Drosophila melanogaster: one gene and its partners. Changing the gene in region 2 together with the main gene of any one other region gives a genetic interaction. Each region holds a gene or a part of one and is shown on either strand. Other genes may lie near its edges.

Region 1 (6,156 bases), on a different chromosome or scaffold from region 2:
ATCAGCATTATCAGCGAAGGGTTATCGTATTATTTTCATTTCACCTTATCAGCAGGGCTGGAAAGTCGTCACCTTGCTGGATAGTGGATAATAGTTGTTGACCCACGTTTACCCACGTTAAACTAGCATAAAATGACACCGCCCAACTCACAACCCATTTTTGTTTGCCACTCGAAGGTGAACTGCGATTTTAAGAGCCCTAGAGGCAGACACAGAACAGCACAGCTGGGCAGTAGCACTTAACCCTAATTCCTGCAACTCTGACACAGACAATGAACACATTAGCCAAAGTCCTGGCTGCCTAGTTGCTTAGCTGCCTAGCCACCAAGCTGCTTGACCAGTGCCTTTGTCAATGGTGAAATGAAAATGAGCAAAATGCATAATCGAAAAAAACCATTGAAGCGTAAATGCTTTGTAACAGGATTCAGGAATGGGCGAGTGCTCGAAGGGAGAGGACTCTTACGGCCAGGACAAAACGAACACAAACACGACTACGTAAACCTAAACCTTCGATCCGAGCCAAAATAAAAGCCGATCCAAGCCACGCCAAGGCAACCAAACGGAACGAAACGAAACAAAACCAAGCGAGTGGCGAAGGACGACAAAAAGAAGGAGGGCTCTGGTGGGGAATATCAGGGATGTTGGGGTCACTGCACAGTTACAACCACTCATCTACGTATCAACCCGCCGCACCATCCCCTGCAGCAAAGCATACATGTGTGTGACATCGATACCACAACTAATGAACGATGAACAGGACGTGGACAACTCTTAAACTGACAAATGACAATGGAATCGGGTCGCACTGGGCACAGAGCACTGGGCAACCTGGCTGGCAGTACGGATCGAACAAGTCAGTGGATGAGAGATGCGGCTGCTCAAATGACTTACTATGGCTGACCAGCTACAAACCCAATTGCATCCTAAACTTAACCCAATCACGAACTGCGGTCTCTGCAGCTGAACCCAATGTGGCGAACCCCGAAGGCAGATACTCTTGCTCCACTCCCATGGAATGAGTGTGGTATCTGGGGAAATAGGCAGTATCCACTTTGGCCAGCTTATCGATAAGGTTCTACCTGCACATGTTGCACCGTCTAGTTGGCGAGCCATTTGCTTTCAAAACGATGAACTCAAATACTTGATGCTTCACTTTTGGTTGGGATGCACAAGCATTTAAAAAGAGTACTAGATGGATGCATTTTCGAAGCGAAACCCGGAATTTCTGAAAAGTTTTGCGGCTGTGGGAAATTCCGTTGCGGCGACTGCATTGCATTCCCGAATGAATCATTCCACTCCCAGTGGGTGACTCATGTGGGGGGCGGGAAGAGCTGAACTGCGCCGCTGCCTTCTATCAGTCAGCAAGCAGCGAACTGACTAATTCAGTTGACTCCAGTGAAATTGGGGGGAGTTGTGCCAAAGAAGCATGGTGTGCAACTAAAGTTGGCCGTCGGTTCGCAGTTTCTACCCGACAATCAAATGGCCAACGACTCCCAGCCACCCTTCTCCACCCTCCTGTCATCCCCTTTGAAAGCCCCAGGCCTCTGTAAAAAGGGACTTTGAATGGGCTGTTTGGCAGCAACGATTGCGTGTTCCGTTTGCCAGGTTTGAGGGAGACACATCGTTGGCATCGAGTGTTTGGGGAGATTCTCGGGTATATTGCACATTGCAGTCCGCAAATCCCTCCCTGCTTTCTGGATGATTCAGACATGTCCTTATAAAAAAAGAGTGAAAAAGGGCAGAAAGAATACAAGCAGAAAGGAGATAGCTACAAAACGGGTGAGCAACTGGGGAGGGCAGGGTACAAAAAAACAGAAATTCTTTTAAAAAAAGTCCCTAGTTGGTAATGCATTACTACAACATTGGAGGAAACCACTACTTTGGAAATCCCGCTTAAAACACACAGAACTTTGCCGACAGTTTTTTTTTTACTGAAAATGTGGGTTATATTGCAACCAACTGCTAGCATTTTTCACAAAGAAAAATGATCCAATATTAAAGTTACACGAAGCAAAAGGTATTAAAACGCTTTAGCAGTAGTTGTCCCAAGCAGGGTGGGAATGGTGGGTGCAAGCGACATAAGTAATCAACGACCACCACAAAAATGACGTCGGCGATGCGTGCCCCTGATAACAACGAAGCTGAAGGGTGGACCTGTGGGTGAGTGGCTGACCAGGTCCAGGCTAGTCCTGCCATGAATTGCACGCAGCGACGGTCTAGCATGAATAGCCGAATTAAGGGTAAGATGGGTGGAGAGTGAATGAACGAATGGAGAGCAAAGCAAATTGCAGGCTGCATACAAAGCAAGACATGAAAGGAGTGCAATGCGCTATAAAGCAGCTTAACTGCTCCCCTGTCCGGGATTGGGCCGAACTCCTGGCTCCTGGGTCCTTGGAGGTGCTGCCCCTCGGTTCTTCTCTTTCAATTGGTCTGTCTCCACATGAATATGGATTTTATTAGGTTTTTGTTCCGCCACAGAAGACTGTTCGCTCTGCGTTGCCAAGGGAAAATTGCTCCGAGGTATTTAAGAGACAAGAAAGTAAAGCAAAATTGTTAAGGTCAGGCACGTCGGCGATTGTGGATCGGCCCCAAAGAACGAGAGCTGCCGCCTGGCAAAAATTGTTTGCAAATGATTTAAAAACACTTTAGCTAAAGCTAACAATATCCTAGTAACGCATGTCTTCCCTTTTGGTTTGTCGGTAGGTGTGTGCGTGCACGTATGCCAGTCGATGAATTGACCTGAACAAGAGGATTCGTGGTGAATGCAGGTCCAGCCCCAGACCAATTTGGGGATTATGCTCAGACAGAGCCGGATAGTTTTTAGCCGGACTTAAACCCCAACCGAAGGACGCATAACCCGGCCCCGCACTCCATTTCTACGATATTTGCCAGTCGCTGCGTGTAGAAAATCAAAATCAAAATGTCTGCACGCCCTGTTTGGTTTCGGTAACACCTCCGCTACTTTTATATGCAAATTGCTAGTCGAAGCCAGCTGCTGCTATCCTCTAGCCTCAAGTTTTCGGTTTTCGGCTTTCAGTTGGCCAGTAGCCAGCGACAAGCAAACGGTTCAATTAAGCCAATACTTGCGCACACTCGCAAGTAATTTGGCAGCCCTATCACCCATCCCCATCCCATCCCCATCCCATACCCATCCCCAATCTCCAATCCCCAATCCCCAATCCCCAATCCCCAACCCTTTCCCGCCTTCAAGCCCTCGAGCCTTTAGTGCCGCTGCTAAGCGATGGCACATTTTTCGTAGCATACTTTGCGCGGCTGCTTAGCCGACGGCCACCACATCCCACAGAAACCCGCTCAAGTGCTTGTGTGCTTGTGTATCTGGCTCTCTGTGTGTGTGCGAGAGTGTGGGTGCCTGTGTGTGTGGGTTGCGGTTGCGATTGGTATTGCTGTTGCACGCAGAAAGTATAGAGCCACACTGCTATTTTGTGAGCCGTACTCAAGTTATACATAAGTTGGGTGTTGTGTCAGTAAGCCAGATGAGGCAGTAGCGCAACAACACAAGTCCCTAATTGCTGGAGACCTACTTGTCTTCCCCGGACACCGAATTAATATTGTTTTGACTTCTATCAGCTTCAATGCGTGGCTAACATCGAGCGTCGAGTTGTCTGTTTAAATCAATTTGTCATCCCGATTAAAGCCCTAACGAAACAATGTTTTAGTGTGCAGTTTTGCCCAGTTTCCCAGTGTTCTCTGTCAGTTTCATTTTCGGTTTGTGTTTCTGTTCTGAGTTTCGGCTCTTTCGACTTACTCCTTCGTTCCATCGAGTATTGTATCGAAAGTGGAGTGAAATGGTCTGGTGTGCTGTGGTGTGTTGTGGTGTGCTGTAGTGTGGTGTGTTGTTATGTCGTGTGGTGTGGTGTAGTGTGGTGTGGTGGGGATTCGGTGACTCACCTGAACCTGAGCAGTGCCAATGGCCAGGACGACCCAGAGGCTCCTCAGCAACAAATTACGACGCAGCGCGGCGCACATTGTTCGCACTCTTTTCTGCTTCTTTGCTCCTCGTCTGGTTGGCTCCTGGTCCTATCTCCTGGCTGGGAATCTCCGAGTTTGGTCTGAACTTAGCTGCTTCTGCGGCTGGACTGACGTGCTTCCAGTTCTGGTTAATTGTATTTGCTTTGTTGGCTATTCGTTTAACACTTTGCTGCACAGGCGGACGACGGTAGCAGCAGCAAGAAATCGAAAACACAAAAAAATTTCATTAGCAAGCGATTCGGAATTGTGGCCTTTCGTTTCAGCCTTTAACTTTCTGGGTTCTGGGTTATGATTTCTGTTTTCTGATTTCTGCGCTCTAAGGTTCGTACTCCGATTTCGTTCGATTTGCGGTGCCCAAGTTAGCTGCCCACAGCGCAGCGCTTTTCCTTTCGCCGATGCCCAGAAACCTATGCACGGAAAATGTCAACTCGGAAAACTCTGTGCGTGTGGCTTGTATGTGAGTGGCCGTAGTATTCGATTGTGGAACGTAGTAGGAGAGAGTCCGTGATGGGCGGGGGCGGATAAGGGAATTGAAGGAAAAGGAAGAAAAGAAAAATAAGGCAAAGCTACGAGAGTACTCGCTGCTATCTGTCCTGTCATACCCACTCGCTGGTTCTCGGGGTCCTGAGATTGTACTTCCCCGAAACGGAAAATATGAGTGGCACTATGGCCGCCGTTCTGCGCCTGGAAAAGTTGTCAGCTGCAGTCGTCGGGTTCCACGTCCCATGTCACTTGTCCATGTCTCCTGTCTCCTGTCTTGGCAGTTCCCACGCAAATCCACCCACTCGCTAACCCCTTCCCGCACTCTTGGAACGTATCCGTCGGGCTTCTGCGCACTTTCCCAACCCCTTTCTCACTGATTCTGCGCAGGTGCGCTGCTTATTGTCCCCCAGCTAAGTTGGCATCACAAATCCACTATTGGCATCGGCTTCGCTTTTTCTTTCCGAACTTGTATCACTTTGTTTTGGATGTTTCTCTATGGTTTTTGTTGTTGGGTTTCTTTTTTAGCACTATTTAGCACTTGAACAGCAAAAAAAAGTATTGAGCTTGTTTTGGTTAAATTTGACGGTCTCTCAATGTGTGTCTCTGGTTTTGTGCTTGTGGCTCCTCGGCCACCACCTCTCCGCCCGAGCGGGAGAACGACAAGAGCCACTGGCCAGCAGCCCCTGGCCTTCCCAAGCTGTCGGGGAGTGGTCAGATGGGGTGGCCCGAAGAAGCCCCTAAAGCGCTGAGTTTTTGGAGCCCTGGCTGTACGCTATACCTGGCGCTGCGAACGCTCACAAACGACTGCGAGTGGTCTCGTTGCCTGCAATCCTGCGAGTCCACGTCCGAAAGTGCGAACTGCGAAAGTCGAACTCGGGCGCAGAATGCAGAGCGCGTGCCCGGGATCGATATTAAGGGCGAATCGAGCAACTGGCCTTCCGCTTTCCGCGGGGGTGACAATGTTTTTGGCTGTCCGGGCTGCACTATGGTACCAGTGCTTCCAGTGGTAGTGGTATTAGCGGAACAAGCAGGACAGAAGTGACTAGGGAGAACTGGTTCCGCGGGCGAACCAAGAGTGTCTGGCGGAGTGCTTGTTAGTTAGTTTACATGCACACCGCTAGGTGGAAACTCCCAAGGGAATTTCGCACAGGTCACCGTCTTCAAAAGGCTGTCCTATGCACGAGTTTTTATAAACCACTAAACTTAATTCAAATTTGTTTTCCTCGATGGATTCAAGAGTTTATATACTTTTTCTAATGGTGAAGCCAATCTGCACTAGATGGCGTCGATATGTAAGATGTAAGATGTAAGATGTAAGATGTAAGATATGACCAAATCCAAGTTTCCCACCACCAACCACCCAATTTCCTATCCACATCACTTATTGCTTGGCCCTTAGCCAAGTTGCAAACCACTTTCGACATTATTTAACATGTTCATTTTTTCCTTCCCAGCGACTGGCAACTCTGTGCCGCACAGCTGATCTTCTTACCGGCTACAAATTAGATTTCTTACATTTGTTTATTTACGCCGCCTCCTACTTGCTAGGCCTCAGGAAAGCATAAACCTAGGAACGGAGCCTGGTACAGACACGGAGCTATACACCTACAACAACGCACATTTCACCTAGTTGCGCAACGCACTTAGCCGGCTGGCGTGGCAGTGCACGGTAAGCTGAAACGT
Region 2 (7,931 bases):
GTTTGTCGATTAACACTTCGTCTGCATGGTTATATGTATATATGGATATATATGTAGGAATAAATTCGTTTAGACGTTTTTTTTTTTCAAACGGTTTTACGAGCGATTTAATATTGTTAAATTGATTTACTGCTGGCCGTGCGCACAAATCAAGTTTTTTTGGCTTTATGATTCGTCGAATACGGAATAAATAAATAAATAAAGCCAAAACTAATCGACGGAAGCCCCGAAAAAAAGCTTTTGAAAGTGGCCCACGCAGGCGGCAAATAGCAATAGTTGAGAAATGAGATAAATAATGGCAAAAAATCCAAATTAAAGTGTAATAAAAAAAAGAGGTCTAACCACTTTTTATTTTTTTTTTTTTGCCTTCCACCAGCCGAACAGCTGAAAAAACACAAAACTGTCGACGAACCTTTTGGCCATTTGCAGCCGGTTTGCAGGGGCAGAACCAATTAAAAAATAAAACCAAAAATAATACAAAAATAGTAAAGAAAACTTTACAAATCAAAAGTAAGTAGGGGTAGCGCAGAGAAAATTAAGGAAAATCCGAACCAGTTGCAAAGCGCCAGCAGCTGATCCACCGGAAAAACTGAAAAGCGCGTCTACACAACCTGAGCAAAGGACCTGCAGCCGGGCACTGAAATTCCAGGAGCAGACCGCCTGCCACGGACGTCAACTTATGTAAAGCCGACTGCCGACTGCCGACTGCGAACTTCGGCCCACATCGCGCTGTTCACCGCCCGCCCTCCTCCACCATCGATTCACATTCACATTTTCCCATTTTCCGGCATTACTGCCGAAGTAAGTGCGTGCGAGCGAGACGCCAGCAATGCAATTTTGCGGGCCAAAGTCAGGCAGTTAACCAGCAGGCTGGTCCGCTTTTTCCTCCTCTGCTGCTCCTGCTGTTTCTTCTTCTTCTTCTGCCTGCTTCCTGCTGCCTGTGGCTGGCACATCTGTGTGTGTGTGTGTGTGGCGCCTGCGCACTGAGCGCACAGCTGACGGCGGTAGGGACCAGGACCGAAGTCCTTCAACATCGGGGAGGGGCAAAAAGCTAATCTCGGAAGTTTCAAGTAAGGTATCATAAAAAATCAAGCTCTTTAGCGTTTTTGGACTTTTACTATTTTGTTTTATTCATCTTCTGGTTAAGAGAATATTCTGCTATAAGAACTTTCAAAAAATTTAAAAACAATGCAAACTATAAGATATTCAACCACAATTGTATAAGCCACGTGATTTTAACAATCACATAATGCCTAGACACACAAGTAACCAAACTTGAGGTTGACAAACTTTCAGCCACCTTATGTAACGTGTTGCTCCCCGAGATTTTGACCGCCCAAGCGTGAACCGTCCCTGTAGTCAGAGGTTTAACCTCTGTTGCTAGGCGCCCGACGCAGTCCCTCCACTGCCGACGCCGGCAGAGCTGCGCCGACTGCCGAGCCAGCTGATTTTTGTGGCAGAGCCGAGGTGCCGTGGAATGGGGATTTTCCCGAAAAGTAACGGCTCTTTCGGGAAAAACCGTTTTCCGTATTGATTTCGGGGGGCGCTGCATGTGAGCTTCCCATAAACCAAATATGCATTCTAAAACGCCCGATGAAAGGAGTAGTTAGCTGCAGTTGGAACGAAGGAGTGGGGAGGGGAATCGAATGAAAAGAAGAAGAAAACAAGTTCTGGGCGCACAGTGGGGCAAGCTTAGAACTGTAGTGACCACTGTGCGGCAGCAGTTGAGCTTCTAGTTTGCAGTAAACGCTTCGGTCTCTCTCTCTCTCTCTCTCGCTCACGCAGGAAACCTGTTTTCGAGAATCGTTTTTTATAGCTTTTGCCACTTGCCACCAGACCAGGCCAAAATAAAAAAAAAATAAACAAAAAGTATTTCACAAGTTTTGTTTGCTTGCTTCTTTGCTGTTTGTGTTGTTGTGGTTGTTGCTGCGCTTGCTAGTTGTTTCGCTTCTGTTTATCATTTACTGTTGTTGCCACCGTTTGGCGTTTACCTTTTGCACAATCTTCGTTTACATGAAAGCGGCGACGACACGCGACCAAAGGCACACACACATTCGCACCTACACCCACACACGGACGGGGAACGCGGACAGACACACGGATACGTGAACGCAGACACGAGGTAACGGTAACGGACAGAGAAAGCGAGCACGTCCACCCGCAGCAACACTCGATGAGCATCTGACGAAGTGTTGCCAGGTGACACAACTCAGAGCGTCTTAACGAGTTTATCACTAAAAAATCCGAGCATGTTAATAATGAGCGCGCGATTCAAAATGGTTGTATTTTAACGTATACTCAAATTATCACAGTAAGCGATAGGCAAATTTAAATCAGTAGATAACCATAGCAAATGGCCCTATCCAGCTTATTAGCATAGCAACAAAACAAGCTTCTGATGTAAACAGCTTATTTGTTAAATATATCAAATTTCTAATAGTTTTCATTATAAATCTAAAATATCAAATGTGGCAACACTGGTTCCATATGATAAAGGTTGCCACCAGGCGTAAAAATATTTTCGTTGAAGTGGACGAGGGCTGCAAAATAAAGTAATTTTGGCGCCTTTTTTGAATTTAAGTGTTCAAAAAAAAATTTATGTAAATGAACGAAGAAGTACACAAGCTCACAAAACAAAATGATTTTAATTTTAATTCAATTAAACAAATTCTCTTTAGAGTTTAAAATATTATTTTGCAATAGCTTAATTTAAATAACATAAATAACATTTGTATTTGCTGTATACCTTATGCGTAAGTATCAATAATGTTTAAATATGTTTAATTAGCTGAAAAGTAAGTGCTGTTGCCTAAATAAGTTTTATTTAATGAATCTAACTATTATTAATATACTATAGTGAATACGATGAGTCATTGTATCATCTCTCGTCAATATCAGTATTAACGCACACGAAAACTAACGCATTAGAAAGATTATCTCTTTTTATGATACTGGTCACTCTAAGACTGAAGTACATTTGTATATGTGGTGAGAAATCGGGTAGTTTAAAAAAAACCACCAAGCGAGTTGGACGCGTAACTCTTTGTAACGGATCTCGGAACGCCGTGGGAGTCGGAAAATCGCTGGACGCGTGTTCGTGCGTTTGCATGTGTGCGTGCGTTCGTGTGTGTGTGTGTGCTAATGTGCGAGCGGGTGAGCGAATAAAAATAAATATATATCGTCAAGTCAGGCTTAAGAAATGTGCGCTAATCAAAGAAAATGCCCCCAATTCTGGCCAATTGAGAATTGTGGCTAAACAAAAAATTCGACCGGAGTTCAAGTGAGTGCCAATTGCGGAGACAAAATGGCTGCATTTCAACGCATTTAATTTACTGGCAACACATAGCAAACGAGAGTGAGAGAGAGAAATGTAGAGAGGCAATCCGAGAAGCAACATAAAAGAGAGAGCATGAAAGAAGTACAAGACGAGGCACACGAAAATAAGTAAACATGCAAAAACATTGTTAAATTAGCCCTATTGCGAAGTTAAACTACACATAATACTATTCACGAAAACATTTTTCTGTTTAATTATTTTGAAACAGCATTGTAAACAAATCGATTTGTTGTTCTTTTGTGCCAGCAACAACAAGCGTTTTAAAAGCAACAATAATTAATTTAATGCATTTTGTTGCGTTTGCGCCGCAGCTGTCGCTCTCTCCTTTTCCGTCTTCCGTCGCTCTTTGTCGTCTCTGTTGCATCTCCCTCTCTTGCTCTCCTCTCCGCGCTTGCTCATTGCCTCTGTGTGAGTGCAAAGGCCAATAGCTGTTTTTGTTGTGATTTTATGTTTGTTTGTATTGCTAATGTTTTGGTTTTCCAACTATTCATAAACTTATTAAACAAGAAAAAACGCATACCGAACTTATGAATATAGCGTAAATAGTAAAAAACATAATTATAAAAAAAACAATAAAACAAATAAAATTGCCTATTTTTATATTTAAATAGTATATTTTTAATAATATTAAATCAATCAAAATGTCTCGCTCTTCTGCCTTCAGAAATAAACAATCCAGTGAATAAACACACAAAATCAATCAAAAAAGAAGATTTTTCTTTTTTATTTTCGCTTTTAATTTATTAACGAGAAAATATTGGAATAAAACAAAAATAAAAATATAAGAAAAGTGTACGTGACAAGAGCTCGAAAAGAAGTTGCAACAAATAGCAAAAATAATTCGTGCGTGCGAAAAAGTGCTGCGAAGTTTTATGGCCCATGCAAAAAGTGCTAAATTTGTAAATGGCATGGAAAGTGCAAAGCTCTGATTAAAAAACCCGCGAAGATTGGAGTGCGAGGTGCCGCCCAATAACGCAACCAACTACTGCCACAAGGAAATTATTAAGACCAATCAACGACCTTCGCGGAAATAAAAAAAATAAAAAATAAAACAAAAGCAAGCAGAAATTTGGTGCTAGTTCTGTTTAGTCGACAGCCATCCACGTTGGATCCCCATCGCAAATAATGTCATCAAAATGTGCTTTCAACATTGTATTCGTATCGATCATTTTCATCATCATCGTAAATGGTAAGTTCGAAAAACTAACATTGATTAACAATGTAATCTAAATGGTTTCCGTTCCTATTTCATATAATTTTTTAAATATTTTAATTTAAAAATACATAAAGCATTGGTGTTTTTTTTCTGCACTTGACTCACTGGCAACCGAAGAAACCACAACAATCGGGGCTTAAAATGAAATACAGCCGAGGGTGCTGCAAATGACGCATAGACAATAACATTGGAATAAGTGCTCAATCAGGCGGAAACAAAGTTAACATTTTCACCCAGAACCCTTCGAGCAACAAAAATAATTACGTACTTTGCCAGGATAATTGACGAGTGAAGGATATTAGGGGGAAGGGGAAGGGTATCGTTTTGAGGGTGGAACACAGAGGGTTTCTTATAATTTTAGTAGACACTTTGGGTAATTGTCTTTGGGTTTTCTCGCCTCCCTAACTATGCTGTGGGTGTATTTTGTTATTAAACAAATGGGGTTGCTTTGCATAATTAATTTAATTTCGCTATTGTCACTCCAAGCGAATTGACAGAATGATTTTCTTGTGACCCAGAGTGTTTGCTTTCAGCAATATTCTCACTTGCAGGTGCCAAGGTTTCAAACTCAACCGACTCTAATAACAATCTATATAGCCGTGAATGTACTTTTTTTACACTTAAGTTAGCTACTCATATATGTATGTATGTTCATGTAAATATACAAATTCAGATTCTACCTATTTATTTCCACAAAGCAAGTCCATTGTTGGGGCAAAAAGAGCGAAGAAGGCGAAAAGCATAAGGTATAACGTGAGTCATGAAAACCTGAGTAAAGCTCAGGGGACTCATCCATTTTTATTGTGAAATCGTTAGCTTGGGTTTAACAAAAGGGGACTTACAAAATTTTAAAACTATATACTTCGGTATGAAACACACAGTAGGAATGAAACATTTAGCTTATACATCTACATATATAAATATATATATCAGAGTTGTGCTACTTAATTTATGAATATATTGTGTTTTGTGATAAAAAAAATGTCGTTACTGCATTGAAGACCGTTTTTTCGCCACTTCAACTAATTTGTTTGCATGGCAAGATTTTCCTAAGTTCAACGTTACGAAATTCGAGGCGGGGCGAGGGATCATGACAACAACTTCCACTCTTGGCTAATTAGCCAAAGTCAAGCAACATGAACATGGGTAAAAGAGTGAGGATTGAGGGCCAAGAATCAAGCCAAGAAGAGTGGCGGAGGCAAAAACTGGTTTATCCACTTGGCCGGCTAATCTGACAACAAAGAAAGAGAGCAGACATAAGAACCGAGAACCCAGAAGCGAGGCGAATAGAAAAGGCCAGAGACAAACAAAAAATCTGCGAAAAAGGTCAATGTCTCGGCATTATCTGTCTGGGCTGCACAAACCATATTATAATGATTAAAAATGAAAAAATTATAAAAAAATATATATATATATATATGCAACAGCTATCGGAGAAGAGTTTTTCTCCCACAAATAAGCAGCGGAAGCGAAAGAAATATATAAACCAAAAATGCTGTGAAAAGCAACAGTTCTGAGATACAGTAACAAGATACAGCTGGGAATTAAGATAAAGATACTGTATCCGTATCTTAGTTTCAGCTTGAGATTGCGGCTACTTTTTACGTAACTTATCTGCAGTTTTTTGGTTTCGTTTTTTTTTTTTTTTTGATCTTGAAAGAGACAAAAAAAACTTGAAGATTCGCTGACGAGTGAAATGAGTTTCTAGAGTCACATCTGGGTTTTTCCGGATTTTATTATTGTTATTGATAAGCTGTTGACTAAAAGTTGTTTCAAATATAATTTCAGTCGGGCAAAAAGCTTTCATAAATCACATATAGGAGATGTGGGAGAGTTTAGGATGGGAGGAGAGTTTAGGATGATAGGGCCCAGAGAACAATGGACACTTTGCCCGGGCATTTATGCAATTTTCCTTTGCTTTATTTCCCGTACGTGCCGAGTGCAACATAGTAAACAAACAAATAATGAAGCCACCATCGAAATCTAGAGATGACAACGTGACCGTGGATGAAGAACTTCGTGCTGTTTCATAATATACTCGTACAAAGAAAATGACCCACAAAACTCGTGGGTTTATTTGGTGAATCCGACCCAGATGATAGACGCGTTTGTTCTGTATTTGCCGTCGTATCTGCCAGATACAAATGTATCTGTCATTGCAAAGTGTGTTACTATCACCAGGCGGCTGACATTTATTGTTTGCCGAGTGCCTCTGCCAAATAAATGAAATAAAATGTAATAAAAAAATGAAATGCATACATGTAGCATTTATATGCGAATGTATACATGCGGTGAATAAATCCCTTAAGCTTGTTGAATGACTGAAGCGCCTGGCACTTCAAATTGATGAGTAGCTTTAATGAAAGGGCGTGACTCGATGTAAATTGCCCTCTTCTAGGGCGCTGCACATGCAGGGAAATGTAAATGGCTTTTCCGAGGGTGAAAGCATTGGTTGAATCGACACAAATGTCGTTATCCTGGCAGGTGAAATTCGTGTTGGCAATTTCCGTAACCGACTTAAAGGTTTTTGCGTGCGCATTTTAATATGCCAATTATAAACATAATCCGCCAAATCTTTATCTGATATATGATTTTAGTATATTTAAAATGGCATAAAATATATGGACGTTAAAATCCGTTTTTTGAGACATTACTAATTATTCTAGATATGGGCTTAGCACTTCCTTTGGGAAAGTGAATAATGTGTGCTCTTGAAACCTTCATTTCCACCAGGAAGCCCAAAGTTAGCCACTAAAAATGCGCTTAAATTGGATTTTATGTGAGTATTATGCTGCCTCATTATGCCAAATGGCCTAAATAACAATCAAAGCGGGACTCGCATGACACCAGTGGATTTGGGGAGTTTGAGGCCGGAGACTTGGAGGTTTGGTAGAATTTAATTAAATTATTAAAGTTACGCGGTAAGCCACAGAAATACGAGGGGTATACATAAACAAACAGACGAGCATCAGACAAAGGCATAAAAACTTTTCTTTTCTTTCCTTTTTATTCCCCTTTGCTCCCTTTCTTCCCCTTTGCCCCCATTTCTTCTCTTTTTCCCCCCAAGTCAAGTTGCGAAGCATAAACAAACAGAAGGCAAACGATTCGCCAAGACGGAGATACATTATGCACAGACGCAGCTACAGATACAAGATACACCATACACACTACTCACCATCGCACAGCAACAAAGCGAGTGAACGAAAAAAAAAAACAAACAAAAATGAAACGGGGAAGCGCTGATAAAGGAGAAAACTAAGAGAATAAGACCAAGTCAAAGAACATTTTCGTGCTGGCATTCGCTTTTCGCATTCGCATTCAACTGCAGATTCACATTCATTTGACTCGGGCACACAATTACCCACATAGATACATATT
Region 3 (7,252 bases), on a different chromosome or scaffold from region 2:
GCCCGCTCCCCGCGACAGCAGCGTAATGACAGCGGCAGCCATAGTAATGGTGGAGGAGGCGCATCCCTCGCTCCCTGCGAGCTGTACAGCAGTGCAGCAGCAGCTCTGGTGGCAGCCGGCATCCAGGCTGGACCAGTTTTGGCTAAAAAGAGTGGCTCATCTGCCCAAGGAGCTTCAGCGGCACTTGGCGCCGACATCAGCTTCCATTCCCCAGAGAGCATGCTGAGCGAGGATAGCCTGCCGGACAGGCTTACGGCCTCCATTCTGTACAACGTGCAGCGTCTGGCCAATCCCGTTAGTGCCAAGCAGTCGAAAATGGCTCTGTTGGAGCTTAAGCAGAAACACCCGCACGCCTTTCAGGTGAGACTCATTTGAAATCCAAATGATGGTTCGTACTTACCACGTTTTTATCTCTAGGATATTTGCCTTTATTCGGAGGCCTGCAAAACGATAGGCCGGAGTAGCTATCGGATGATAGCCCGCCGCTTCCTGCAGGAGCTCTTTCTGGACCTTAATTTTGACTCGTTCTACGTGGAGCCTCAGCTCATAATCGGGGCACGTAAGTTTTCCGCTGAGGAAAAAGCAGAGGCCACGGCCCCCACGGCAATGCAGGCCATGCCGTTTAAGCAAACGATTCTCAAGCCTAAACCGGCGGCCCAACTGGCTAGCGTTTATGAGACTAGTTGGGAGAACCTGCTGATGGACCAGTCGCCACGGATAAACAAGTCATCGCCTGCCGATCAACCGGCCAATGCTCAAACGAAAGCAAAGGCCCGGAACCAGCTGCACATTGACGATACGGAGAGTTCGTTGTCCAGTACCGATGGCGAAAATGATTCCGGTGAGGATGTTTGCGACGGCAGTGGAGCCGGCACCCAGGCCAGCTCGGTGACCACCGCTCATACAGCCCTGCCCACAGGAAACAGCAATCGTAGCAGCATTGGCACATGCACAGCAAGCCAGCTGGTGCCAGGTGCGGCAACTTCAAACTCCGCTGGTGCTGGGACAAGCGCATCTGATAATGCTAGTACAAGTCTAAAGAATGAAAACCGGCAATTCACACGCGGACGATTCTATACGCTGGAGCTCGATTTGAGCTGCACCAAGAACAAGTTTCCCATCAAGAATCGCAGCCAGCGAACACCAACGCCTCCACCAATCGAAAGTTTAATCGAGTCCAAGCCCACGGTTCAGACAGATGTGAATACAAGTGCGCTGCCAATTATGCAGCGGACCGGTGGCAGCAATGACTCCTCGTCAGCCCTAAGATATTCCACTGTGACCAAGAGCTTGTCGGCATCGATGGCCAGGCCGGTGGGCAGCCTGTACTGCGAGAAGCGCTTGCAGAGCTCCAAATCGGAAGCGGTCCTCGATGAGGTGGCGAAGGCGAGAAGAGCATCCGGTGGTGTGGGACTGACAACTGTGCGTGACAACTCCTAGACGCACTGGCGGAAGATCAATTGAAGTAGCCCAATGGGGACGCACTGCCTACTCTTACATCTCGTTTACTGGCCGCCCGCCTTCCTAAACCGAAACCAATCGGATAAATGTAATATATCAAATCAAAGAACATGTAGCTACGTAGATTAAGGCAATCCGTACTATAGGATTTAAGTTATTTTCGACTAGTTTGTTAAAATTAAAGTTATTACCATAGTTACTTTTACGATCACCACTTATGCATAGTTATTTTTAAAGAAATTCATAACCGTAAGCAGGAAACCAACAAACGACAAAAATCCCAAAAAATAATATATAATTTTCTTATGTAGCGTGTACCAACATATTTTATAGAAGCAGATCGAAAGCAAATTGGATAATTGCCTTGAAGCAACAAGAAACAACCACAAACCACCGCAATTTATTTAATTAATGTACTTAAAACTAAAAGAGACCCAGTGGCAGGCGAAAGCAAAAAGACCACACAAACCTTAAACCAAGAAATTATCATTATTGTTGAAAACAAAGCAAGAAGCATACCGTGAATCGTTCACAATCACTTTAAAACCAAAATGAAATGAAATCAATAAACTATAAAAATTGAAAAAGTTAAACCCAGCAAGTGCTATTTACTTAAAATCGTATGGAAAGATAACAATCTTCTTAGGGGCTGACTAGATTTAAGGTCGATTTATTTAGTTTGTTTTTTAATTGAAATTGGCTAAGCAATCGTATTGGTTGAGTCATGCAATTGAAATTGTTGGAACTATGCATACAATATTTTGTATATGTTTAGTTTAGGAGACTGTAGGAATTTCGTAGTAAGCTCTATTTTTTCACTATTCTTGTATATAAATGCACATAATGATCTTAGGTATAATGATCTTAGGTAGTGGTAGTACATAGCAATGTGTGTGCCCAGCGGACGGGGGAACCATGTCCATCTCGGATCGAACGTGGCTCCTCCACGTCCAACTGCCTGACATTCGAGTATAGTGGGAAAAGTGAGTTTCATTTCATTTCATTTCATTTGAATTGAATTGGAGTGAGGAACCGTATTGTTTGAGTGCGGACTTTTCAGGTTGCGCACTTCGTTGAATTTGTCTCCTGATAAAGCTACAATTAATTGAGCACTAACTTTATGTGTGTGTGTATATACTATATATAAGTACAATTATATGTATCAAAAATGCAATCAACAATATCAGTCCGTTGCCGTGGCCAGCAACAACAATATCTCCTATTCTCAAACTCCATTCATTTCACGCCCGCTGAAACGGAAATTGATACCAGATATTAGGGATTAGGGCTTAGGGATAGTCAAGCATACTCCAATGGGGATGGATGTGATATGTAAATTGAGCAGATCAGTGAAGGTGCCTAGCCTCTGGCCAATCCAATCCATTTCGGTACTAGCCTTGCACGTATCCCAGTTCCGTCTACTCACCCAGCCGTGGATCCTATGGCCAGGCGAAGTTGATGCCCGTCAGCTGGTAGAACTTGTTGTTGAAGGGCCGGTAGAACTCCCGGAGGCGCTCGATGGCCCCGGGATCTATGTGCGGATGGTTGCGCCCCTTGGTCTTACCCAGACAGTGGGGCGTGGAGCGTGCCTCCGACTTGAAGAGGCAGGGGAAGCCCTTGGTGGCATTGAAGTAGAAGTGCTTCTCGGTGACCACGCGCTTCAGACCGAGGAAGTCCTGTACGCGTCCAATCTCGTAGGCGGGATCCATGATCAGCCGCTCGCCGCTGATGAAGAGCAGCTGCGAGAGCGGAAAGTAGAGCAGCCAGCGCTCCAGATAGCGTGCATAGACGCCGATCTTCACCGGGCCCCAGTTGGTGTCCACCACCGAGTAGCTACCGTTGACGAAGGCCAGCTGCTCGAAGAGCTTCATGTCCGCCTTCTTGCTCGCCGCCTGTGTGTAGTCGGAGATGGCCCGCGTCACCGGATCCCGCACCACAATCAGTAATCTACGGGCGTATAAAATTGAGGTTAAGTGAAGATATGCTAGTGATTGATGGTCCAGATACGTAGGGTTAATGTAAAACGCATAATGCATTTAGAATATAATGTTAATCCCTTCTATGTTGATCAAATCGAATGTTGTATTCCGAAAACCATTTCACTTAAGGTGCTTAAAAGTATGATAAAACCTAAAACAAGTTCTAAAGTCTTGTGTATAAAGCACATATTTAAAAGGACTCAATATTTAAGGGATATCCGCCTTAAAAATCTCAGCTAAGCGTTTGAAACACTTTTATTATATAGTATGCTACGATTTACGTACGGTTTCAATATTTAAGGGATATCAAATCGGCCTTAAAAAGTATCTCTCTTCAATTTTCAACACTTCTATTATAGGTGCTAAAAAGTATGCTATGACTAAATACAGTCTTGTGGATAAAGTGCAGTATTCTAAAAATATCATTTTTAAGAATTGACCGTTTTTAAGTTCTATCAAATCTGATGGAGTAACAATTTACGATTATGATCACAATAGGTTTGATGTAGAAAAGCTCACTTTGTTGCCGGATTCATGTGGTAGACGCGCTGCGGCACCTCCTTGGTGACGAAGTAGCTGGGCGTCTTCTCCATGGTGATCTGGCCCTCGATAGTGTACGGCATGTGGTGGCGGTACCAGCGTAGTCCCCGCTGGTAGTGCCTGTCGAAGAAGTGCACCTCCGAACCGGCGGCCCGCACGTCCGGATGCAGGCGGATGAACTCGAGCAGCGCCCGCGTCCCGCTCTTCTTCACGCCAATGATGAGCGTGTCGGGCAGGTGGCGCGATGGTCGGAGCCCCTGCTGACGGAGCAGCTGATACTTGGGCGCCCCATCCAGGCTGCTAGTAACCGTCTGTGCCGGCGGAGCACCGGTGGTGGATGAGCTGTTCCTGCTGCTGCTGCTGTTGCTGCTGCTGCTGTTGGCGGCGTTATTGGTCTCGTTGCGGGGCGAGGAGGTCAGCGCCAGTAGATTGCGTAAGTTGCTCTGCGCGGGAGAGGTCAGAGGTCAATGCCACACATCGTGCGAAACATATCAACATATTGGCTTATGAAAATGCCCAACTTGTAAGTATGCCGAAAAGTATGCAACTATAAATGTACATATATATAATCGTATATATGTATGTAGATAGCATCGCAAAGTTCAGCGAAAGACAAAACTTAAACTTTTCACAGCACACTTTTGGACAGCTTGTTAAATGTTTTGAAACCGCTGGGGATTATTACAACCCCCCCCCCCCCCCTAATTTTGAGTTGGCTCCACTTTACACATGTGTGTAGCGAAACTTTATATTCGATTTTCCAATTATCAGTTTGTTTTCATGAATAAATGCATTGGATATTGGATACATTTAGCCCCTACACTTAGACATTGTCCAGTGATTCGTGGACATATTCACCTGCTGCAGACTGCGACTGATGCTGGCCAGGAGGCAGGCATTGAAGCTGTAGGAGAAGTAGACCAGAGTCACGCAGATCACCAGGGCGATGGCCAGGCTGCGGCTGCTCAGGCTGAGGCTGCTGCACCAGATGCTCATCACAATCATGGCTGGCTGGGCGCTAGTGGCTGCCGTGTCTCGCATCTGGCGGTATAATCGGTTCCGAGCGCTCCGTCAAATTCCATTGCCACTCAGTCGCCCCGGAGCACTGCCTGCAGCATCCGGATTCCGATTGTGATTTGCAATCGCAGCAGCGGCTGGCGGCTACCGCCAACGCGAAGTCAACTGAAGGAATGGGGCTGTTCGCAACGCTGGAGCTGCTGGTAGTTGCTGGTGGTTGCTGCTGCTGTTAGGTGGCTGGTGGGTGGTTGGTGTGGTTGGGGTGGTGCTGGCGCTACGAGTTCGGCCTGCAAGTGCCGGAGCTGTCGTCGCAGCCGAGTTGCGGAAGTGAAAGCCAGGGATAAGGCAGGGCCAAGACATTGGGGTGCCCTGCCAGCGGATAAGCGCTGCCTGGGCCGCCGGTTCGGCTCCGTTTGTGCAGGATGACAGGATGGGTGGGGGAAGCGGCCGTGTCATGGTTGCGCCTGGGAAGCGCACAGGCGCATTGGACACATCCTCTCTCGTCTCGGGACGCTTATGCAACTGAGCGTTTTGCTTGCTCTCTCGCCAGCTCGTCGAATCGCCGTTGGTGTGACGTCGCAAATGTACACTGCCCGAAAGAAGTGCCAAGTCTTGAATGTAGCAGATAATTAATGTAGTGACAGCTTGCTATCACATCATGTCTTTAAGAAAGAAAGCAGACATATATAGTTAAATCAAAAGATACTAAAATCTGAAGAATTTCCGCTTTGTGAGGGTTTGACGAAATCTTTGCTTTCTACACAAATCAAATCTTAATAAATAAGTATTTCACTTAAGTTAGTAATTAATTTCCAAGTCTGATAAAGTTATATTTATATTAAGCAATAATAATAGACATTATTGATTTGTTAATTTCTAACTTCACAACGAATACATGATAAAATGTACTCCAAAAACGCAATCGTTAAGTAGTATTTCTAATATTTTTTATTATTTCTAAAAATGTATATATGTATATAGTTTGTTATGTAGGCTGGGAATGCCATCTTAATATTTATTCGACCATAATCTTTTCGTATACGGCCTTTTATTTTCTTACTTCCTGTCGCAACTCTCTCTCTCTCTCTTTTTTGCTCTCGGCTTCAATCAATTTTCCGCTCAAAGGTAAACAAACTAACCAAGAACTTACCCCCACCCACTTTGGCAACCAACCACCCACCCACAACCCAACCACCCCATTTGCGTCTGATAAAGTACTTGCTGGCATTTAATATTGGATTGAAATCAATTTACCAAGCATTATCGCCGGACGTTCTATTGCCCGTACTCCTATCACCATTAGCCATTTGAGATTAGTTTTAAGCCCTATCGTTGGAATGGCCCAATGGCCTTTGCCACATTGTTTTCTTATGCATATGAAAGGCCAAAAAATTGTACGTTTCCGTGGCAGCGTGGTAAATAGTAGGGGCCCTCAGTTGGGCCAACTGCCAAGGAGCTTATCAACCGGCGGACATCTGTTTATCTGTCCAAGTGGCTTATTCCACTGCGGCATTAGTCACTCACTTTGGGATACACTGGCGAAAAAAGCGCCAGGAAATTCGATCATATAAATTGGGGTAAAAATATTTACATAAAATGGGAAATATAGTACTTCGAGTAATGCCATAGATAGATACTTGCTCAAAAAAAGATACATTCAGGTACAAAAAAAAACATTGATCTATAACCAACGAATTTCTCCACAAGATGCGCAACATAATCGGATTTCCTTTTGACTATCATAATTCATGAACCCGAGCGGAGAAATGGCTAGATAATCCCAAACCCTCAACTTTTCCGCCCGTGTATCCATGGCCACCACACACATGCACCTGGTCGGGTCGGGTTGGCTTATCTTATCGCCTTATCTGCGCCGCCTTCGTCGCAGTCGAATTCTCCGCCGGACTTCCACCGGCCCATTTGCCATTTGTCCGGCGTCGCATCGTAGGCATCTCCATTCCAGCTGCTCGCTAAAATGCTCTAAGCTCCTTCGATAGACGAACCTTCCTCTCCCTGCTGCTGGACTAACTAACGCAAATCTATCGCAAAAATGTCGAATGTGTGGGGCAAACTGGTGCTGAAGTTCTTTAAATATGCGCCCAGCTATGTGGGTGAGTTAGCCACGCCAATGGAGATCCTTGTCCAGAGATTACGTCTCATTCACTTCCAGTCTGCCTGTGCTTCCTGCCCTGCGGCATGATCTTTGGCTATACGATCTGCGCCTTTGTTGCGGAGCGGAACCTCAACGCTGGACT

What was found. A genetic interaction does not mean that the proteins touch.
Region 1: of kuz (region 2) and Appl, changing one enhances a phenotype caused by changing the other (phenotypic enhancement), as found in Drosophila melanogaster (one study listed by BioGRID).
Region 3: of kuz (region 2) and Hs3st-B, changing one enhances a phenotype caused by changing the other (phenotypic enhancement), as found in Drosophila melanogaster (one study listed by BioGRID).

What each region holds. Positions count from the first base shown.
Region 1 is NC_004354.4:529,630-535,785, reverse strand, and holds the start of Appl (beta amyloid protein precursor-like), read right to left. Parts: upstream 4,617-6,156; 5' UTR 4,597-4,616; intron 4,160-4,596; 5' UTR 3,988-4,159; coding exon 3,910-3,987; intron 1-3,909. UniProt on the Drosophila melanogaster protein: During development, plays a role in the regulation of the neddylation pathway. Appl and APP-BP1 interact antagonistically during development.
Region 2 is NT_033779.5:13,547,141-13,555,071, forward strand, and holds the start of kuz (kuzbanian), read left to right. Parts: upstream 1-2,998; 5' UTR 2,999-3,153; exon of another isoform or gene 3,154-3,280; intron 3,281-4,001; 5' UTR 4,002-4,462; coding exon 4,463-4,526; intron 4,527-7,931.
Region 3 is NC_004354.4:19,246,910-19,254,161, reverse strand, and holds Hs3st-B (heparan sulfate 3-O sulfotransferase-B), read right to left. Parts: upstream 5,524-7,252; 5' UTR 5,022-5,523; coding exon 4,839-5,021; intron 4,424-4,838; coding exon 3,960-4,423; intron 3,409-3,959; coding exon 2,901-3,408; 3' UTR 2,888-2,900; exon of another isoform or gene 2,712-2,887; 3' UTR 2,117-2,711; downstream 1-2,116. Other genes in the region: rictor (rapamycin-insensitive companion of Tor), read left to right, coding at 1-360, 418-1,440; CG7992 (uncharacterized protein), read left to right, coding at 7,048-7,108, 7,168-7,252.